Linked DNA regions of Drosophila melanogaster. The protein of the gene in region 1 interacts with the protein of each later gene in a pairwise test. Each region holds a gene or a part of one and is shown in the gene's direction. Other genes may lie near its edges. The genes, in order: CG13083, Es2, Golgin84 and CG5913.

Region 1 (4,340 bases):
GAGGGCACCAAGGAGATACTCAATGTCCTGGAGGCCAAGCTGGATGCCTATCAGAGGCACGTGCTCCATAGTTCCCGCAACATTGACAACAGCATCGACGGACTGGCCAAACTTATTACTAGGACGGTGTTGCCACAATTGAATGGGCTAAAGTGTACCTTCGATAGCTTGGAGACGTCCCAAATCAACGTGGAGGTGGAGCTGAAGAACTTGGCCGGAGTCAAGGAGCTCAGCGAGAACTCCAACTTCAAGCTGAACGTGCTGGAGCATCAATTGAAGCAGCTGAATCGCACTCAGGAGCAGCGCTTGGACATCCTAATCGATGCAGTCAAGCATTTGCAGCCCCACAGTTCCTGGAAAGTGGAGGCTGTTCTCCGCGAACTGATCATCTCGCAGAAACGCATCGAACTGGGTCTGGAAGAGTGCAGCCGACAACAGCCCTATCCGCAATATGGCCATCACGACGAGTCCTATCTTCCCACCTACGGAGCTGAGGTCCCAGAGCCGCAGCATGCTCATCCTAAGCCCAAGCAAGTGGATCTGGAACAGGTGTGGAGCATCAAGGAGGAGCCCAAGCACGGTAAGTGGTCCTTATTGCCACCAGATTAGGATCACAAATTAATGGCTTGTCGTTCATAGGAGAGCACTCTGGAAACCACAAAGCTACCGCCTATGCCCAGTCCCCCGAGCCAAAGAAGAACTATCAGAGCTCCAGCGCCGTGTCCTGGCGGCAGACGGTGCCGTGGGAGTACGGATCCCCATACCAGTCCGCTCCAGTTCACCACCATCAGCCATGGAACCCAGCTCCGGCCCACGTTCCCACCTCCGTTACCAAGCCCAAGCCGTGCCCCAAGAAAGAGCACCCTACTCCGGCATCCTATGTTCCTTTGCCACATGACCAGCCTGAATCCTACAAGCTTCCTGTGGATTACAGTCCCAAACCTAACCACGAGCAACCTCATAAGCCCCACCACGAGCCACAGTCTTACAATGAGGAGATCTACAAGCCACAGCCCATCCAGCCAGGAGAATCCTTCAGGATTTGGTATGGAGACAGTTCCCTCCCCCAAGGATACTAAAGGAAGATTTAACTGGGACTACCACTGTTACTGAAACTGATACAACTTTTCAAAGCATTTAACAAACTCTTTTTTTTTAATTCAGATTCATTACTTTGTACAATTTTTATGTTTTATAAATAAATAAAAAAAAAGCAAAGGAAATACATTTTTGATTATATTCCTAGCAAGTAATTAATAAATAACTTTTGAGAAAAAATGCTATAGTTTCATGGAAATCATATGCATCAACTTTTAGCATCGTATGCGAAAATATACATTCAATTTCCAAAAACTTTTCTCAAAATCTATTCAAAATATACGAAGAAATTTTTGTTATTTTGTATGTTTTGTAGGTAAATAAATTCACCTTACTATTAACCTATGCTATTGTTTGTTGATAGAAGCAAATTTTAAAAATATTTTAAGCTTTTTTAAAAGTTAATAGTAAAGGATCCAAGTTTGTTTAAATTTGCAAAAGGCATCTTGGCCAATTTTTGAATAGGCATGATAATATGAAGGATAATTAATTATACTGCTGTTTTCGAAATAGGAAACAAAATATAGACTTATTAAACTTTTACAAAATTACTTTAGTTCGCTTTATTACTTTATTTCTTGTAAACGATAGACAGTATGCCCGAAAACATTTGTTACGTTATCATTACCTTCGAAGACCTATTTTCTGAATGAATTTGAACAAGAAGCAGCTGGGGCACGTTTTTCAGTGGTGTTATTACTACCGTAGCACACAAAAAACCGGGTCAATCTGTTCTGTTTAGAAACAAAGAAGAATTTTGAAACGTGACACTACACGGATTTTCCCTAACTTTACCAAGATGTCGATGAACCAATAACTATTTAGTACGACTACATGCAACATAATTCGCTTTAGTTCTTTCTTTTTACAAGATGATAAAACAGTTGTTCGCGACTATCTTCTTAGTAGTAGGGAAATTCTCGTAAACACACTATTACAGATTGGAGCAGCATTTGCACCTGCACCCGCTGAAGAGAAGTGGGTGGTGACCGAACTGATAGAACTTAACCCAGTCTAAGACACGTTTTGGACCTTAAGTTGGGCTACTTAAGTTGCGGTTCGGATCGAAAAGAGACACTCAGCGGGGAGCGGCCATCAGAGAAACACCATGAGAGTGCGACTGACTTTGCTAACGATATGCATTTACCTATGCGCGGCTGCAGCTGAGGATCTGGACTCCATCCATGAGATCCGCAGTGAGGTGGAGGAGCTGATCAAAGGTACGGAGGAGCTAAACCATGGGCTGCAGAAAGTGAAGGACGTGCAGAAGGGCATTGAAGAGAAGTTCAAGCATCAGCGCGACGAGATCGAACTCATTGCTGGATTGGAGGTTGCCATAGCCAAGCTGGAATCGAACGTTCAAAGCAGCTTCCAAGCCACGGCCTCTGGAGTGGGAAATTTGACAGCCATTGTTAACGCAATCCAGGGTCAGAATGAAAACTCTATTAGGAATCTTACCAAAGTGGAGCTAGAAATCAGGAAAGCCCTGGAACAAGTGGCTGCCAATCAGAACAAATACGAGCAGAACCTAAATGAAGTGGCCTCATCCGTCAACTCGCATCTGTCGGAGATTCAGCAGCTGCTATCACAGGCCGTCATAGGGGAACTCATCGGCTTGGACAATAAAGCGAAGGTCCTCCAGGAGCAGCAGCGCAACATCGTGGGTCAAGTGGGATATCTGGGCGAACTTAAGGCTCTGGCAGATCGTGCCAATCGCAAAGTCAATCAATTGGAGTGGGGTCTGGTCATTCTCAACCGCACTCAGTCCGAGAGCCTCAACAGCATCGAGCACACTGTCCATGGAGTGCAGGTGGCCACCTCACAGGTCGATCATAAACTGGCTGCCCTACTGAACAATCAGAAGAACATTGAAAGGACGCTGGATGGCTGCAAGCACAAAAATCCGTCACACCAGAAGCCCCACGAGATCTGGACTCACCCGGAACACGCACCAATTTACAAGTAAGTTTGTATGCCCTACTTCTGGGTGCACACTAAAACCACTCTTTTCATTTTAAGGCCAAAACCAGAGGGCAATCAAGGATACGAGAACGTCTATGCATCCCAAGAAGAGGCTGAATACCTATACAAACTTTGGTATGGAAAGGGCCAGTAGCATTAATACGAAAACTGAAGATAGATGTTTTATGCCATATTCAGAAATTGCTTGATTTCCTATATCAAATCCCAGCATGTCGATTCTATCTATCTTATATAATTGTATATTAAACCGTTCTGTAACACAATGTAATAAACAAGAGTAAATGGAGGAAATCGAACTTTATAAGTTGTATATTGCTAAAAAGTGTTATGTCCAACTTTATATATCAATTGTTGGAAAACTTATAAAACTAGATAAATGCACCTGACATAGAGGAAACCGGCTCTACCTCTATAATTTTGTTGGATCCAATGGATGAACCTGACCATCATCCCGCTCAAACTTAATTATCAGCTGCGACTGATGCTGGTTCCAGTGCTCCGATCGATGTAATTTAGCATTCGTCTTCGAACGGAATTCCTCGACTGACAAATCGATCTCAATTTTTTCGTTACTTGCATCCGGATCGGCGGGGTAAGCATCATCTCCTGGCAAGAGATGCACTAATCCATTTGTACACTTGTGCACTACAGGATGAATCAGCTGAATGCCTTTGACCTCACGCTCTGCTGCAAACTGACGCAGGTTATCTAAAGAGGAGAAGTTTAGGCAGCGCGAAAGTTCATAGAATTGTGGAGGCGGCAGCCAGAGTTCTTTTCTTAGGCTCGCTTGAAGGTAGTCCAATGGGGAACGCCACTACAATAATATAAATGATAGTACATTAAATGCAACTTAAAGGTTTCGCGTATCGCTCTTGTGCCGTATAATATCCCACCCACCTACCGCAGAATCCTTGACCTCATTAGGTTCGATGTGAACCCTGGGTTCCTGTTCCAGGGCAGTCATAAAGAAGGCCGTCTCGAAGCGCTTCTTAAACGTGGACGGCGTGCGCCAGACAGACCACTCGTGAAGTGACCAGACATCTGGAAGCACATCCAGCTGCTTGCAGAGCTCCAGGAACTGGCTGGCATTGTTGTGGACGATGTGCTGCCAGTGGGCGCGGTCAAACTGGTCATAGAACGCTCCATAATCGCTAGTGGAGGTCAATGATTTGCTGTCCCTGCACAGCAGGATACCCAACTCCTCGAAGGTTTCTCGTATGGCAGTCAGCCGCAGAGCTAGGGATCTGTTAGGTGCGAAA
Region 2 (4,892 bases), on another chromosome or scaffold:
GCGAATTGTGTAGCCATCTGCGAAAGATACCATTAGATGGTGCAGCCAGGGTAATCAATGCGATAACATACCCAGGACGCGGGAATAGCAGTTGGAGGATCCATCGGAACAGTTGCGATTGAGCAGGCTCAATGGATCTGTGGCGCAGCGTTCGTTGTCCTTCGAATTGCACTGGATGCATCCATCTGCAAATTGAGCGAGTGGAACGGAGCGTTTCGATTGAGTCATGCCTGATTAGATTAGATCAAGTTTTTCGTAATCGTTGCGTTGGCATAATGACATCATATTGATTTCGTGCAAAGTCTGCCTACCTACCACAGTGCATATGTGTTTGAATGTGTTTGATTATTTCTTTTTATGTATCTACCTGCATGCCTTATTACAATGACGCGCACTGTACTCGGATGGCAATTGTCTCGATTTTCCACAATCGATTCTTACGAACATGCCCATGACAAGTGAATCAGCAAACTTGTATGTTTTTGATAAGAAGAGTCAATTTACATTGGCTATAAATCGAAAGCTTGCAAGCAAATTATATTTAGCATATCAGGTGGCAGTAAATATTAAATATTTACCAAGTGTTTACATGAAAGTACGAATGTACGAGATTATGTTTCAACTTTAATAATGAAACGGAATAACTATGTACTTCATCACAAAGAGAAATTAAATTACCGCTGACATACAGCTGTGTTCATAAAAATAGCAGTGCTTGAGTTTAAAATAAAAAAATCTTAAGATTTCAAGTTTTAATGGGAAAATTTTTTTTATAATATCATTAGGTATTTAATTTTAAACAATTCAACAAATGTTTCACATTCATTTTTTTAATAGTTTCGAAAATATAGATTAAAACAAGCAGAAATAGCAGTGCTATGAAAAAATAGTAACAAAATTCAACTTGACTTAGAACGAACTTATTCTTAGCCGATTTGCTTCTGCGTTTCTTTATTTTTTATTTTTTTAATTTATTGCCCTTTTAAATATACAAATTCAAATTCAAATTCAAACTCACTTTTTAGAAAATATTGATCATTTCGGGAGTTTACGTTGGTCAAAACCAGACACTGCTATTCTGTTGAACAGCCTAAAAGTTGTGATTTTGCTCAAGAATGTAAATAAAAAAAAGGATAGCATAGAAAACTAACGACATTTTCTTTTTTTCCCTATCTACACATTCCAATTCACAAAAATAAGTGGAATAAAAATTCGATCCCGAAACATGAAAAAAAAACCGTCGCATTTCTTAGTTTCTCTTGCACTGCTATTTTTTTGAACACAGCTGTATGTACACATGGTTTAAATATATGGCGTACAATTTTCACATCTTTTTGCTGGCTCACTCACACTTAGAAAAAAAAGAATATGTTTGCCCAGTTACAAAGCTAAGAACCTTTAAAAGTTTCTTTGGAAACTCGCCTATTGATAGCTTATCATGAATTTATTTCCGTGTCCATGATATCACCGCTTATCACACCTTATATAAAACACTCAATAAGTTTTTCAATTCAAAGAGCAAAAAGAAAATTAAAAAAAAAAAAATACGATCCCGATGAAAATTAAAAGTGAAACTTATTTTGGAACAACATTTAGGCAGGTACAACATTTACCACAACTGATGTAGGCCAAAAACGAGAGGGCTGCAATCACCAACAGGTAAAACTTCATGGCTGATAACTGATGTAACTAATTTCACGACGATCGAATGTTGCGACTGGTTACGGAGCTGAACCAGAACTAAGGGAGTAGAAAAGGTTCAATGAGTGATTTGAGTTTTGCCGAGCTTTATACCCTATTCATATATACCTACAGCTTTACGATAAGGCACCACGACAACAGTAATTCTATTGGTGAGTTGAGAAAAAAAAGTGTTTTGAAATGATTCACGACGCTAAAGTTGTCGCTCTTTGGCATACATTCATTTTCATAAATTATGTTCAGCGGGTTAGTCAGCGCACTTGCGAAACTTCCAGATGTTTTAAAAATATATCTTTAATGTTTGCAAAATCGTAATAAATTTCATTTTCAAGTGCTAGCTAATCGCATTAAAATTTCAATTCAAATGCTAGCGCGCATTTGAATGCGTTCCACACTTATCGATAACACGTCGATAAGTACTCCTTGCCAGAGTTTTTAATTAATATAGTTTAGCAAAATATCATTTTGTTTCTATTTAAATTTAAATTGGTTCATACTCACCAATTTATTGTAAAGGAAGTCGAAACTTTTAAGCTGATTAATTTCACCTTTTACATCCGAGAATTAAAAAAAAATACAGGGAAATATTTTGAACCGACGTTTTGTTATTCTGAGTGAAACTTAAAACGGTCACACTTTGCTGGCAGACAAAAATATTCACTTTTTATATCTAAACAAAACAAAGTTATTTACGAAAAAAGCGAGATATAAACGGCAATGAGCGCCACGACTAGAACACCTGCCACACCGGGGACACCTGGCACTCCCGGCAGCCTGGCCATGGAAGTGGCCCGCGTCCAGAATTCAGCACTCGCCGAGTTTAAAAAGCCCACGGCGATGGTGCGCCACAAGAACAAGCCAAAGATCCTTACCGAGGAGAAGTACATCGAGGAGATGTCTAAGATCATCCAGCGCGACTTCTTTCCCGATCTGGAGCGGCTGCGTGCCCAAAACGACTACCTGGACGCGGAGTCACGGCGCGACTTTGTACAAATGGCCGAGATTCGGGAGCGCTACAGTCTGGGCAGGATTTCCGGGACAGGAAGAAGCACCAGCCGACGGAATAATGGTGGGTATTGTACTCAATTGGATGAACACCACTGGCACATCGCTGTCTGCTACTATCTTACTTGAAATCAAGTCTGATGAAATTATACATTGGCCAAGTTCAATAGATAGACCCATTAACTTTTTGAATTCCTTCATTTCAGCCATGTCCCCGGCCACATTTGAGACACCAGTGAGTCAGGCGAAATGTAGCAACACCCCATTGCCAAATTCCCGGGCCACAGACACACCATTTTCCACGGACGGCTCCGAGAAGAGCGATGCCGAGGGCAGGGACACCACCGCGAAGCTATCGCTGGACGCCTTTCTGCAGAAGTACACCAGCGAGGATAACCAGAGCTTTCAGGAGATCATCGAAACGGCCGAGGCCAAGCTGCGCCAAAAATACGCAGTACTGTACAACCATGAGAAGCTCTCCGCAGAGCAACTGCAGCGGGCCCTAATGCTGCCCAGCATAGAAACGCAATTCGAGGAGCCAGATCCGCTGAGAAAGATCGAAACCTGGAACTACACCAACATGAATTCCATTATGTACGTGCCCGATGGCGTGGAGTACACAGAGGAGGAGCGCGTCCAGTTGGCCGAACGGAAGCAGAGCATCCAACACAATGCCACCAGGCTGCCCGATGAGGCAAAGCATCGCGAAATGGACACTAAAAAGCTGAATGATGAAGTGCCCCAAAATGGGGCTGGTGGTGCCACAGCTACTCCGAAGGTACGCGGCTTCGATTTGTTGCGTTCACCATCACCGCGACCCGGAGAGGCTTTCTCGCCCATAATGACCTGGGGTGAGATCGATGGCACTCCCTTTCGCCTGGACGGAGGCGATACCCCATTGCGGCCCACACAAGGACCCTCGTTCCGGATTAATGAGAACTCTCGGCGCGAAAACATCGCCATCGCTTTGGCCGAAAGGGTCAGCGAAAGGATGCGAAATCAAAAACAAATGGCTCTGGATACGGCGCGTCGTAACATTGGCTCACCACTGATACGCACCAATATGGAACGGCTGGCCAGCATGTCGCCGGCAGCGCAGCTACTGGCCACGGGTAAGCTGGGTATCCGCGGCACGCCCCGATTAAGGCACACACCATCGCCGATGAGCGGCAGAAAACGAAAGGTTACGCCCGGCGTGGTGAGGAGCACCAATACGCCAATACTGGGTGAACCCAAACCCAAACAGCAGGCCAAGATTAGCACTCCGGCTAAGAACGTTACCATTGATACGGGATCCACGCTCACGGACGATCTGCTCAAGATACCCACTAAACGACGCACTGCAGCCGATTTCTTTTAGTACATAACATTACCCATAACCCAGCTACATTATTCATGTTTAATTTCATTAGAGAATACTATACATAGTCCCACAGTGTTGTTACGAATTGTATATTTCTTATAAATAGATGCCGAGTTGTTGGAAAGAAGATTTAAGAATGCGTAAATCATAAACATCATACACATATCTTATCAGCTTTGAAGTTCATTAAGATGTATTGGGTGTTGTAGCAAAAACACTTGCGCACATTTTTAGTTTCATTTTAATGTTTCAATACGAAAAACCCCATTACCACAGATAGCAACATACTGATTAACTAGCTAGAACTGCTCATCCCTGTAATCCACATGATCGCCGGACTTGAACTTGAATGCTTCCAGGACTTTGATGAATCGCTCCGTCGTTTGGGCGGGAGTCAGCATGGTCTTGGACTCCCTTTGCTCTCGAAACATGGCGACCACGGCGGGATCGTGGGCCTCTCGCTGAACCTGGACGGTCATCTGTGTGTCTATGACGCCGGGCGCGTAGTTCAACACCAGGGTGTCCTCGGCGGACTCCTCGGTGGCCAGCACTCGGAAGTACATCTCACGGGCTGCCTTCACCGTGCAATAGTGTGCCATCGAGGATATAGGTGCAATGGCTGCCAAGGTGCTGAGATTAACCACCAACTTTGGGATTCCCTTGAAGACGCGCATAAACTCGCAGTTTAGCGAAATGGCCGAGAAGACATTGGAGTGGTAGTAGCGCTGTAGGAAGTCGGTATCTCCGATTTCTTTGGCCCTCTTTGACGTATCGCCCACTGTGCCGGCATTATGAATGACTATGGCTCGCTCGAAATTGTTCT
Region 3 (4,588 bases), on another chromosome or scaffold:
GGTGTGTCCGTGATCCGTGTCTCCGGGCCGCAAACAAAGAAGGCCCTCCGAGCAATTGTTGCAAACAAAGAATACGAGCCAAAGGCAAGTCAATCGATATAAACGTTTATTATTCCATATATGAGGGGTCGTGACCTGTGCAGTGTATAGTTTTGTTTTCTAGTATCCAAAATATATGTATGCAAATGAAAAGACCTGTTGCTTATTTATATACATTTTGGGAGATGTATCCTGTATAAAAATAAACAAATTTCTCCTAACTTACATATAATTGACTAAATAAATTGAATAATTTCGTGAACTGCTTAATTTGTTATAATTGGCAAGCTGCCAGGTTTTAAGACGAGAGACCTCTATGATAGTGAAACTTATAGTTCCCTTTATAAATACTTTTCCATATAGGCTCGTCAGGCGTATCTGAAATCCTTCTACCATCCCGCCAGCAAAGAGATGATTGACCGTGGGCTCTTACTTTGGTTTCCGGGACCGGCTTCTTTCACTGGCGAGGATTCCTGCGAGTTTCAGGTACACGGGTCCCTGGCAGTCATTGCGGCCATGTTGGATGCTCTGGGAAAAGTGGATGGATTGCGGCCGGCGGAGCCGGGAGAGTTCACAAAGAGAGCGTTCTTTGGTGGCAAACTGGATTTGACAGAGGTGGAGGGATTGGCCGATCTTATCCATGCTGAAACGGAGGCGCAAAGAAAGCAGGTAGACAGTGGACTTAGGGTCTCATAAATTTTGTTTCAAGTCTCTTCTTTCTCCAGGCACTGCTACAAAGCACTGGAGCACTGGCTCGACTCTACGACAACTGGCGCCGTCGACTTATTCGCTGTGCTGCCCATTTGGAGGCCTACATAGACTTCGCCGAAGAGGAGCAAATCGAAGGCGGCATCATCCTGCAACTCGGCAAAGAACTAAAGGCGGTAAAGCGTGAGATTCGCGAGCATTTGAGTGACCAGCGGCAGGGAGAGCTCCTCCGCGACGGAGTCCGCACTGTGATCATTGGAGCACCCAATGTTGGCAAGAGTAGTCTGCTCAATCTCCTCTGCCAGCGATCCGTGTCCATAGTGACGGATCAGGCGGGCACCACAAGGGATATTATAGAAACAATGCACAATTTCGGAGGATACCCGGTGGTATTTTCCGACACAGCCGGATTACGCCGATATACTACGGATAGTATAGAGCAGGAGGGAATGCAGAGAGCCAAGAATTGTCTAGTCCAATCTGATTTGATATTGCTCCTAGCAGAAGCCAAGAACATTGCACAGCTGACGCACGACGACGCAGTTGCTCCGTTTGTAGATAGCTATCTGGGCGAGTTGGATATACCTCTGGACATGTGCTCAGGGAAACGTCTGCAATTGGTGGCCAATAAAACCGACACTTTGACGGATGAGGAGCATCAGCAGCTGGACAAGCTGTCCAACGTGTTAGCCATATCATGCCATAAGCCCGATAAGATGCCCGTGTTTCTGGGATCACTGGAGAAGCAGCTGCAAGAACTGTGCGGAGAACCGCGGGCGGAGAATCCACGCATCACAAACACACGCTACCGTCAGCAACTGGAGCGCTGCATTGAGAACATTGATATTTTTCTACGAGATTACAGACCCGACGTTTACCCGGACATGGCCATAGCCGCCTCCAAGCTGCGCAACTCCGTGCGCTGCATCGAACGCATCACCGGACACATCAGCTGCGAAGATATACTCGACGTGGTCTTCAAGGACTTTTGCATTGGAAAGTGAAGAGATAGTTTATAGTTGTGAGTTGCGAAGATTACACTGCCCATGTTGAGTATTGAATAAAATATTCATTTGTACCCTAGAGTTTTGATAAGCATAATAAATTAACATTTCTGCACGGATAAGAAAGATTGGAATTACATTTATTTCTAAAACCAATCCTTACATTTTCATATAAATATTTTTTTGATCAGAAAAAAGGTTTTTCAAAATTACGTTACTTTTAGAGTGACCTTAACTTTGGAGTTGACCATTCCGCAGTCGATAGCGATATGGGCACACAGTGTGATATTGTTTACGTGTTTTACTCGAAGAGATTTGTTTTTCTTAGAAAAATATGTCATCCTGGATCACAGGACTGGCGGACAAGGCCGAAAACATTTTGAACAAGCTGGACCAAAATGCGGCAACGGCCCTGCAGACAGAGAACGCCACAGGTTCAGCGGATCCCATGCGTAGGAGCATGACGAGCAGCACCCAATCACTGTCCACATCCCTGAAGTCCACTCTGTCGCCAGTGCGGCGCTCGGGGGCCAATAGCTCATCAAGTGTAAAAAGCGATGGCGGGGTCTCCGTGGTCACTAAGGACATGCGCCAAAAGATGACCACGTCGGCCAGTTTCTCCAACAGTCCCGACATATCCGCCAACTCAATGGACACAAATGAATTGGCTGCCTTCAAGATCGCCCTGAATGAAATCACGGCCGAAAGAGATGAACTGCGTCTGCGCTTGGAAGATCTTAATAACGAAACCGAAAAGTTTGATCTGCATCAACACACCCAGGTGCTGGAAGCTCTGGTTAAAAGTCTGTCCGAAGAGCGGGACAAGGCGGTTCATGACTACAATGAGGCCCAGGCAGCTAACATGGCGTATGTGCACTCCATCTCCGAACTGGAAACCAATCTGGCCAAGTTGCAGCAGGAATACATAAGCGCCGCTCACAAATTGCAAATGCAAACAAAGGAAACGGAGCAGCAGCGCCAGGAGCTTCAGGAATACCGTATCAAGGCTCAGCGAGCTCTGCAAGCAAAGGATTCCCTCATCGCAGAGTTGAAGGCGAAGCCCACGGAGGAGGGCGCAGATCCAAACCTGGTGTCCAAGGACAGTGAAACGCGTTTTCTGCAAATTGAACACGAGTCACTTAAGCAAGAACTAGAGCATGCCAACGAGGAACTGCAAAAGGCGCGCTTGCAGCTGGACGATTACGTTTCCCAGGAAAGACAACGACAGGTGGAACTAAGCTCTGCCCGCCAACGCGAGGAAACACTAGCAAAGGAGTTGCGACAGGCAAGGGAACACAGTGTGACCTCCGAATCCGATCAGCGAGTGCTCACGCAGGAACTGGCCTCACTGCGGCAGCAACTTAGTAACCAAATGGCTGCTGCCGCCACTCGACTCCAGGAGCGGGAGCAGCAGCTTCAGCAGATGCGTCAGCGATTGAGCGAGGAAGCCAACACGGGAGCCAAGAGCGATTACGAGACTCGGCTAAAGGCTTTAACCCAATCACTGGTCGAACGTCAAAGTCTTCTGGAAAGAGTTACGAGTGAGAGAAATGCCCTGCGACTACAGCACGAAAAGGCACAGACGCAGCTACAGCAAAACATGCACTTGGTGGAAATGGAGAGCCAAAGGGGCAGCTCCCGCCATACTATGCTCAACAGCACAGATGATGGTAAGTCTAACATTCTGCGAGTACCAGAAATTACATAAATATGAGTTCTACCTAGTCAAAGCACAATTCCCGCTTCTCATGCATCCAAGTCCATTCGATAATCGTGTGGCACGACGCTTCAAGCGAGCCCTTCGCCAGGCGGACTCCATGGGTATTCGGGTGGGAACGTTTCTGCGTCGCTATCCCATGATGCGGGTCTCTGTGATCGTCTACGTGGCCCTACTACATCTGTGGGTCATGTTTGTGCTGCTCTCCACTACACCAAACTAATCGAATCAAATACATTTAGTTGAGCAATTGTTGTATTTCCATAATATTGTATGTATTGTATTTTACGCGCCAAAATTGGATATCTAGTGGTACGAGTATATGTGTCATGTTTGTGGTTGCAACAATTGTATATATCGATATTATACTTGTGTCTCGCACTCGTTCTAAATTCAATATTCAATAAACATCAACTATGTACAGAAATTGCAATTGATTTAACGCTAAAAACATCCAGCAAACAAGTAACAAGACCGAAAAAATTAGCACTACTAAGTTAGGATTAGAACGATTCCTCACAGTTCAAATATTGCATAAAGAATCCATCTACAGATGCTGTAAAATTGTTAAGTAAACGTGAATTAGTTTAACTTCAGTTTAACTCCAGTTGCTGGGCAGAGCTGATAGTTCTAGCTAAGCGGAAGAAAATAGAGAGTATACGCTTTTGGGACGATTCGCGTAAAACATGCGCTATATGCCCCGCAAGTTTTTATATCAGTCATCGGCATGGTAGCTCACATAGACAGCATCGCCTCCGATGCTAATCAGGCACTGGCCCTAAGAATACAAGATTTCAGTATAAAAACTTTAAGGTAAGTAGATCATTGTGTTTGCCTTACCTGATTCTTGTGCTGATTATCGAACAACATAAGTTCGGTGATGTAAAAAGAGACCATGGCATTTCCGCCCAGCGAAGCGATGTGTGCTCTCACCACAGCCAACAGTTCGGTAATGAAGCCATGGACAAATCCGCTGATGCCACCATTTTCCCGGATCGACGTGCTCTCCCGAATAAAGAAAAAGTTTAGGTTGCCCAAATATTTATCTATACGACCACCAGGTATGAAACTTAGTGGCGTCACATCCACTCCATAACGATCTCGCAGCGGAAACTGTCAA
Region 4 (4,228 bases), on another chromosome or scaffold:
GGATGTGACTCTTACCGAATGGGTGCACTCACACAGCAGACTGAATGACCCGACGACGGCAGCAAATCATGACTCAGGACAACTCAACGATCTTTCGACAAATGGGAATGGCAATGGGAACGGCAATGGCTACGATAATGGTCAGGGTTCATCGACGGCATCGAATGCGGCGGGAGGAACTGCATCGGGAGCTGCTGGCGGTGGCCATCCGTCGCCGAGACATGTGAGATAGCCAAAATTTTGGAGTCAATTCAGTGTCAGTGATGGTTTTTTATTTTACTTTGATTTCAATTAAGTTGTTATCATTTCATATCAACTGGGATGGGGCTTGAACTGTGAACTGATGAATCTAGAGCTTAGTAACTAACTTACATTTTGTTTTAAAAATCCAAAGATTGATTCCAATAGTAACTTTAATCAATCAATGAAGCTAAAATTCTAAATTATAACTTGCATATTTCAAAACCGGATAAATGAATTTTGGAACCCTTTGTTTCAAGTAAATATGTTGTATTTTAGTTAGTTCGTGTTTAGTTTGATTTGATTGTCGCATGCTTCATGTTTCACCACACACCCCAGACCGCCCCGAAAAAGTCTCCAGACTAACTAAACTTTATTTTAAATACTCTTCCAACAGTGCAACGAAGTGATTACCATGAATTTGAGTGTTCGCCTAAAGACAAATGAAATCGAACTGCCACAGGAGCCAACACACGTCTATTTTCCGGAGCAAGTCTATTTCCATTTGGATCCCACAACGCTAACAGTGCACGGATCACCGCCACCGGCCCAGAATTTCCTGGACCAGCCACATCTGCGGGCTTCGAACGCCTCCCTTCAGGCAGCTGCCCACCATCAGGCGGGTTCCTCCGGCAACCGGCATCCCAGCGATGGCGGCAGCAACAGCGGCGGAGCAGGAGGCGGATCGGGATCCAGTGGAGGAGCCGAGTGCACCGGACGGGCCGTCGATAATCAGTACAGCTTCACCTAAGTCCGCGCGATCGATCATCAACTGCATTTCGCGGCTTAACCAGCGGAACTTTACTTTTGTGCCATTTTAATCATTGTCCTAAAGGAGAGGAAAATTGTGTTTTTTTTCGCATCAATGTGCGTTCTTTGCTTTCTTGATTCACTTGTTTCTATTTTAGTTAGTACCTCTTTTGGAAGACATGAAGTAACTGAACATTATTATGTATACATTATATAGCTAAATGTGTGTGTTCATTTTAAGTACATCAATGTTGTATGTATAGAAAAGAAGAACCTAAAAAAAAAAAAACGCAAAAGAAAATTGTACGATTTTTGTGGGCACCAAAGGTGCGACTCATGCGAATCCTAAAACTTCCTGCTTTACAAAACAAAAATACATACATATATACCATACTTATAAATATAAATTATATATACATAAATATATATTGAAATTGGTAAACTACAATAAATGAAGTTATGTAAAAGTAAACCAACGTCGGTCTTCTTTCATTTGGGCTTTGGGTTTTAAAGTGGTTATTTTAATTACTTTTACCAAGTCTTTATATTATATATAAATTCGTTTGAAATAAGGTAACGAAAAATGTTTTTCAAAATATTTGCATGGTATGTGCCCGTGCTAACCTCGCAGCGCTATTTTGACAAGTTGGCAGGTTGGCTTTGGAAAAGTTTTTGATATTTCCGACCCACAAAGCAATGGTCACATTGCCACGCCGGTGAGAGGCAAAAAGTTGACAATTCGAGGAAAAGCTGAAACTCTCGAAGGATATGGAAGATCTGGAACTGTATTTGGTGGATTCCCTGAAGGCGCTGTCCTTCCAAGGGCACTGCCAAAAGCAGGAAAATCTGAGTCGTGCCCTGGACGCGGGTATTGAAAGTCCAGACATGCAAGAGGTGGTTCTTTGGCTCGCCCACGAATTGCACATTTTGCGGAAAACCGATGAGCGGGTGAATCAGGGCAAAGCCCTTAACAAAGACTTTTCCTTCGAGCTGTCTCTGCTACTCACGGAACTTGGCTGCCCGTACCGCGAGCTGGTGCAGGGACCCATAGAGCAGCGATTCAAGAGCCGTATGGCACTGGTGCAGCTGCTGGAGTACCTCACATCCGAACTGATGACCACCAAAATGGTTCTGAAGGCCCAGCCCGTGGGTCCACCCTGCAAACGATCGAAGGTGGACACGAATGTCCAACAGGTTGTCGAAAACTTAGCCAAGGATCTTCAGCTGGGCGAAGTGCCTAAGAACATCAATACCAAGATGCTTTTCGAGAAGATAACTCCCCGCTTGGAGCAGGCCATTAAAAAAACCAATCCCCAAGTGCTCAGCGAACCGCTGTTGAAGCTTAAGAAGCCCTTGACTGATGCACAATGGCAATTGTTGGAGACCCTGCACCGAGAACTGGAGGCGGAGTACAATTTGCGCAGGCAGATGATGTCCACGCGTCTGGAGGCCACTGTACAAAGCTTTCAGTGGTCGGAGTCTATGCGTCAGCGCTCCAATGAGATCATGGATCGATTCAATCGCAAGATGAGGGAGCTGGATCAGTTTAAAGTGGGCGGAAAGCAAACCGACTTGGTCGCCCTGTTGGCAGCTCGCTCAGATCTGGCCATCATTGAGAAGACAAGCTCAGCGAATGTGAGAAAGAATACGGCTTCCAAAATCCAAAAGCATGTGATTGGTCGGGTACCCGATCGCGGAGGCAGGGCCAATGAGCATGCTCCTCCGCCACCAGAGATGCCCTCGTGGCAGCAGCAAAGGGCTAGTGGTCCTCCAGGTGGCGGACGCGGTGGAGGAGGTAATTTCAGAGGAGGCAGGGGCGGCGGCGGCGGTGGCGGCTTCGGTGGAGGAAGAGGAGGTGGAGGAGGAGGTGGAGGTGGCAACTGGCAGCAGCCTCAGCAGCAGCAGCAGCAACATCAAAACCAAAGTTACGAACAACGTGACCGCAGCGATAGAAATGATCAGCAATGGATCAGCGGGAGTGGCCGTGTGCAGGGTACAGGCTGGAATCCACAAGGCGGCCGTGATGGTGGAGGACGTGATGGAGGAGGACGTGATGGAGGAGGACGTGATGGAGGAGGACGAGGCAGAGGAGGTGGAGGCGGTCGCGGAGGATACCGTGGCGGCTACCGATGATCCCTAATTCCCAAAAATGTAGACCATAAACGACTGATCCTCTTGTAAACTACTAACATTACATGTCTTTAATCGCACGCATACCCCAGTTTAATTTATTGCGAAATTTAACGAATTTGTTAATTATTGCAAATGGGCAGGTATTTATAAAATAAACTAAATATGCCATCTATTTGCCAGCAAATCTCGCGTGTCGATTTCGCTTTTTGGGAATCTGGGTTAGGTGTTTCACTTTCAATGTGTTCGTGATTAGCCATTTTAGGTTCACATTATAGTCAAATTAATCAGATAGATAATGAGGGCAACGGACTAAGTCTAATGAATTATTATTACAGCATTATATTATATAGTTTGTGACGTATATTTGGTATTACCATTTGTTTAATTTAAAAATTAAATATTCAATAGAGTACATTACTGTCAACGCTTTGTTACAAAATATTGCATACTAGATATACACTTTAACGATGATCTAGTTAAACTTTAGTTATAGACCGTCAACGCATATATACTATATTATAAATTCATCAGTACTTTGTTCCAATTTGTGGTAATATAATTATAATAGCTTACCTATGCTTCGATATTATTGAACTGTCAACCGCTTCTGAACGTCTCAATAATGGGATTGTGATCTTGCCCTCAATCCCCGCAAGAAGTACGCCCATGTGGCAGGTAACCAGGCATCAGACCCAGACACACGCGACACTCGATTGCCATTAGCTTCCAATCTAGTCATCAAATGTGCCGGCTATATATCTGTCTATATATCGCCACCACTGCGATCCGCAGGCCGGTGACAATTAACGTGGTCAATCGGCGTGAAAACCATGTCGAAGTCATCATGGATGAGCCGAGTCGGGCGCTTGGATCAGTTCAACCGAAGCCCCAGAACGGTGAGGTCGCAAGTTTCTCACATTCGAGTCCTAACTTAACCAGTTTAGAATGCTCATTAAACTGATATTGGCGTTGGTAATTGGTTATGGCGGCATTTTTGCGCCTGGCAGTGCACAAAATCTGTTGGATCGACTGCGTCCGGTGAATATGACCCGCTTCGATGATGGCATTAAAGTCGTTTCCGGCACCAAAGTGAAGCGCTATGAGC

The links.
Region 2: the proteins of CG13083 (region 1) and Es2 interact in a two-hybrid assay, tested with the Drosophila melanogaster proteins (one large-scale study listed by BioGRID).
Region 3: the proteins of CG13083 (region 1) and Golgin84 interact in a two-hybrid assay, tested with the Drosophila melanogaster proteins (one large-scale study listed by BioGRID).
Region 4: the proteins of CG13083 (region 1) and CG5913 interact in a two-hybrid assay, tested with the Drosophila melanogaster proteins (one large-scale study listed by BioGRID).

The regions. Positions count from the first base shown.
Region 1 is NT_033779.5:19,485,318-19,489,657, forward strand, and holds CG13083 (uncharacterized protein), read left to right. Parts: upstream 1-2,172; 5' UTR 2,173-2,206; coding exon 2,207-3,060; intron 3,061-3,117; coding exon 3,118-3,214; 3' UTR 3,215-3,374; downstream 3,375-4,340. Other genes in the region: CG13084 (uncharacterized protein), read left to right, coding at 1-580, 640-1,079; CG10194 (uncharacterized protein), read right to left, coding at 3,491-3,895, 3,983-4,325.
Region 2 is NC_004354.4:8,459,153-8,464,044, forward strand, and holds Es2 (Es2), read left to right. Parts: upstream 1-2,326; 5' UTR 2,327-2,418; coding exon 2,419-2,770; intron 2,771-2,912; coding exon 2,913-4,066; 3' UTR 4,067-4,197; downstream 4,198-4,892. Other genes in the region: CG15347 (uncharacterized protein), read right to left, coding at 1-17, 72-230, 1,614-1,671; Sptr (sepiapterin reductase), read right to left, coding at 4,369-4,892.
Region 3 is NT_033777.3:24,355,374-24,359,961, reverse strand, and holds Golgin84 (Golgin-84), read left to right. Parts: upstream 1-2,023; 5' UTR 2,024-2,085; coding exon 2,086-3,421; intron 3,422-3,476; coding exon 3,477-3,691; 3' UTR 3,692-3,892; downstream 3,893-4,588. Other genes in the region: CG18528 (uncharacterized protein), read left to right, coding at 1-84, 403-708, 765-1,751; CG6454 (uncharacterized protein), read right to left, coding at 4,184-4,246, 4,309-4,581. UniProt on the Drosophila melanogaster protein: May be involved in maintaining Golgi structure and in intra-Golgi transport.
Region 4 is NT_033777.3:25,891,812-25,896,039, forward strand, and holds CG5913 (uncharacterized protein), read left to right. Parts: upstream 1-1,683; 5' UTR 1,684-1,758; coding exon 1,759-3,123; 3' UTR 3,124-3,215; downstream 3,216-4,228. Other genes in the region: Lnk, read left to right, coding at 1-223, 638-991; Sodq (sodesque), read left to right, coding at 4,069-4,228.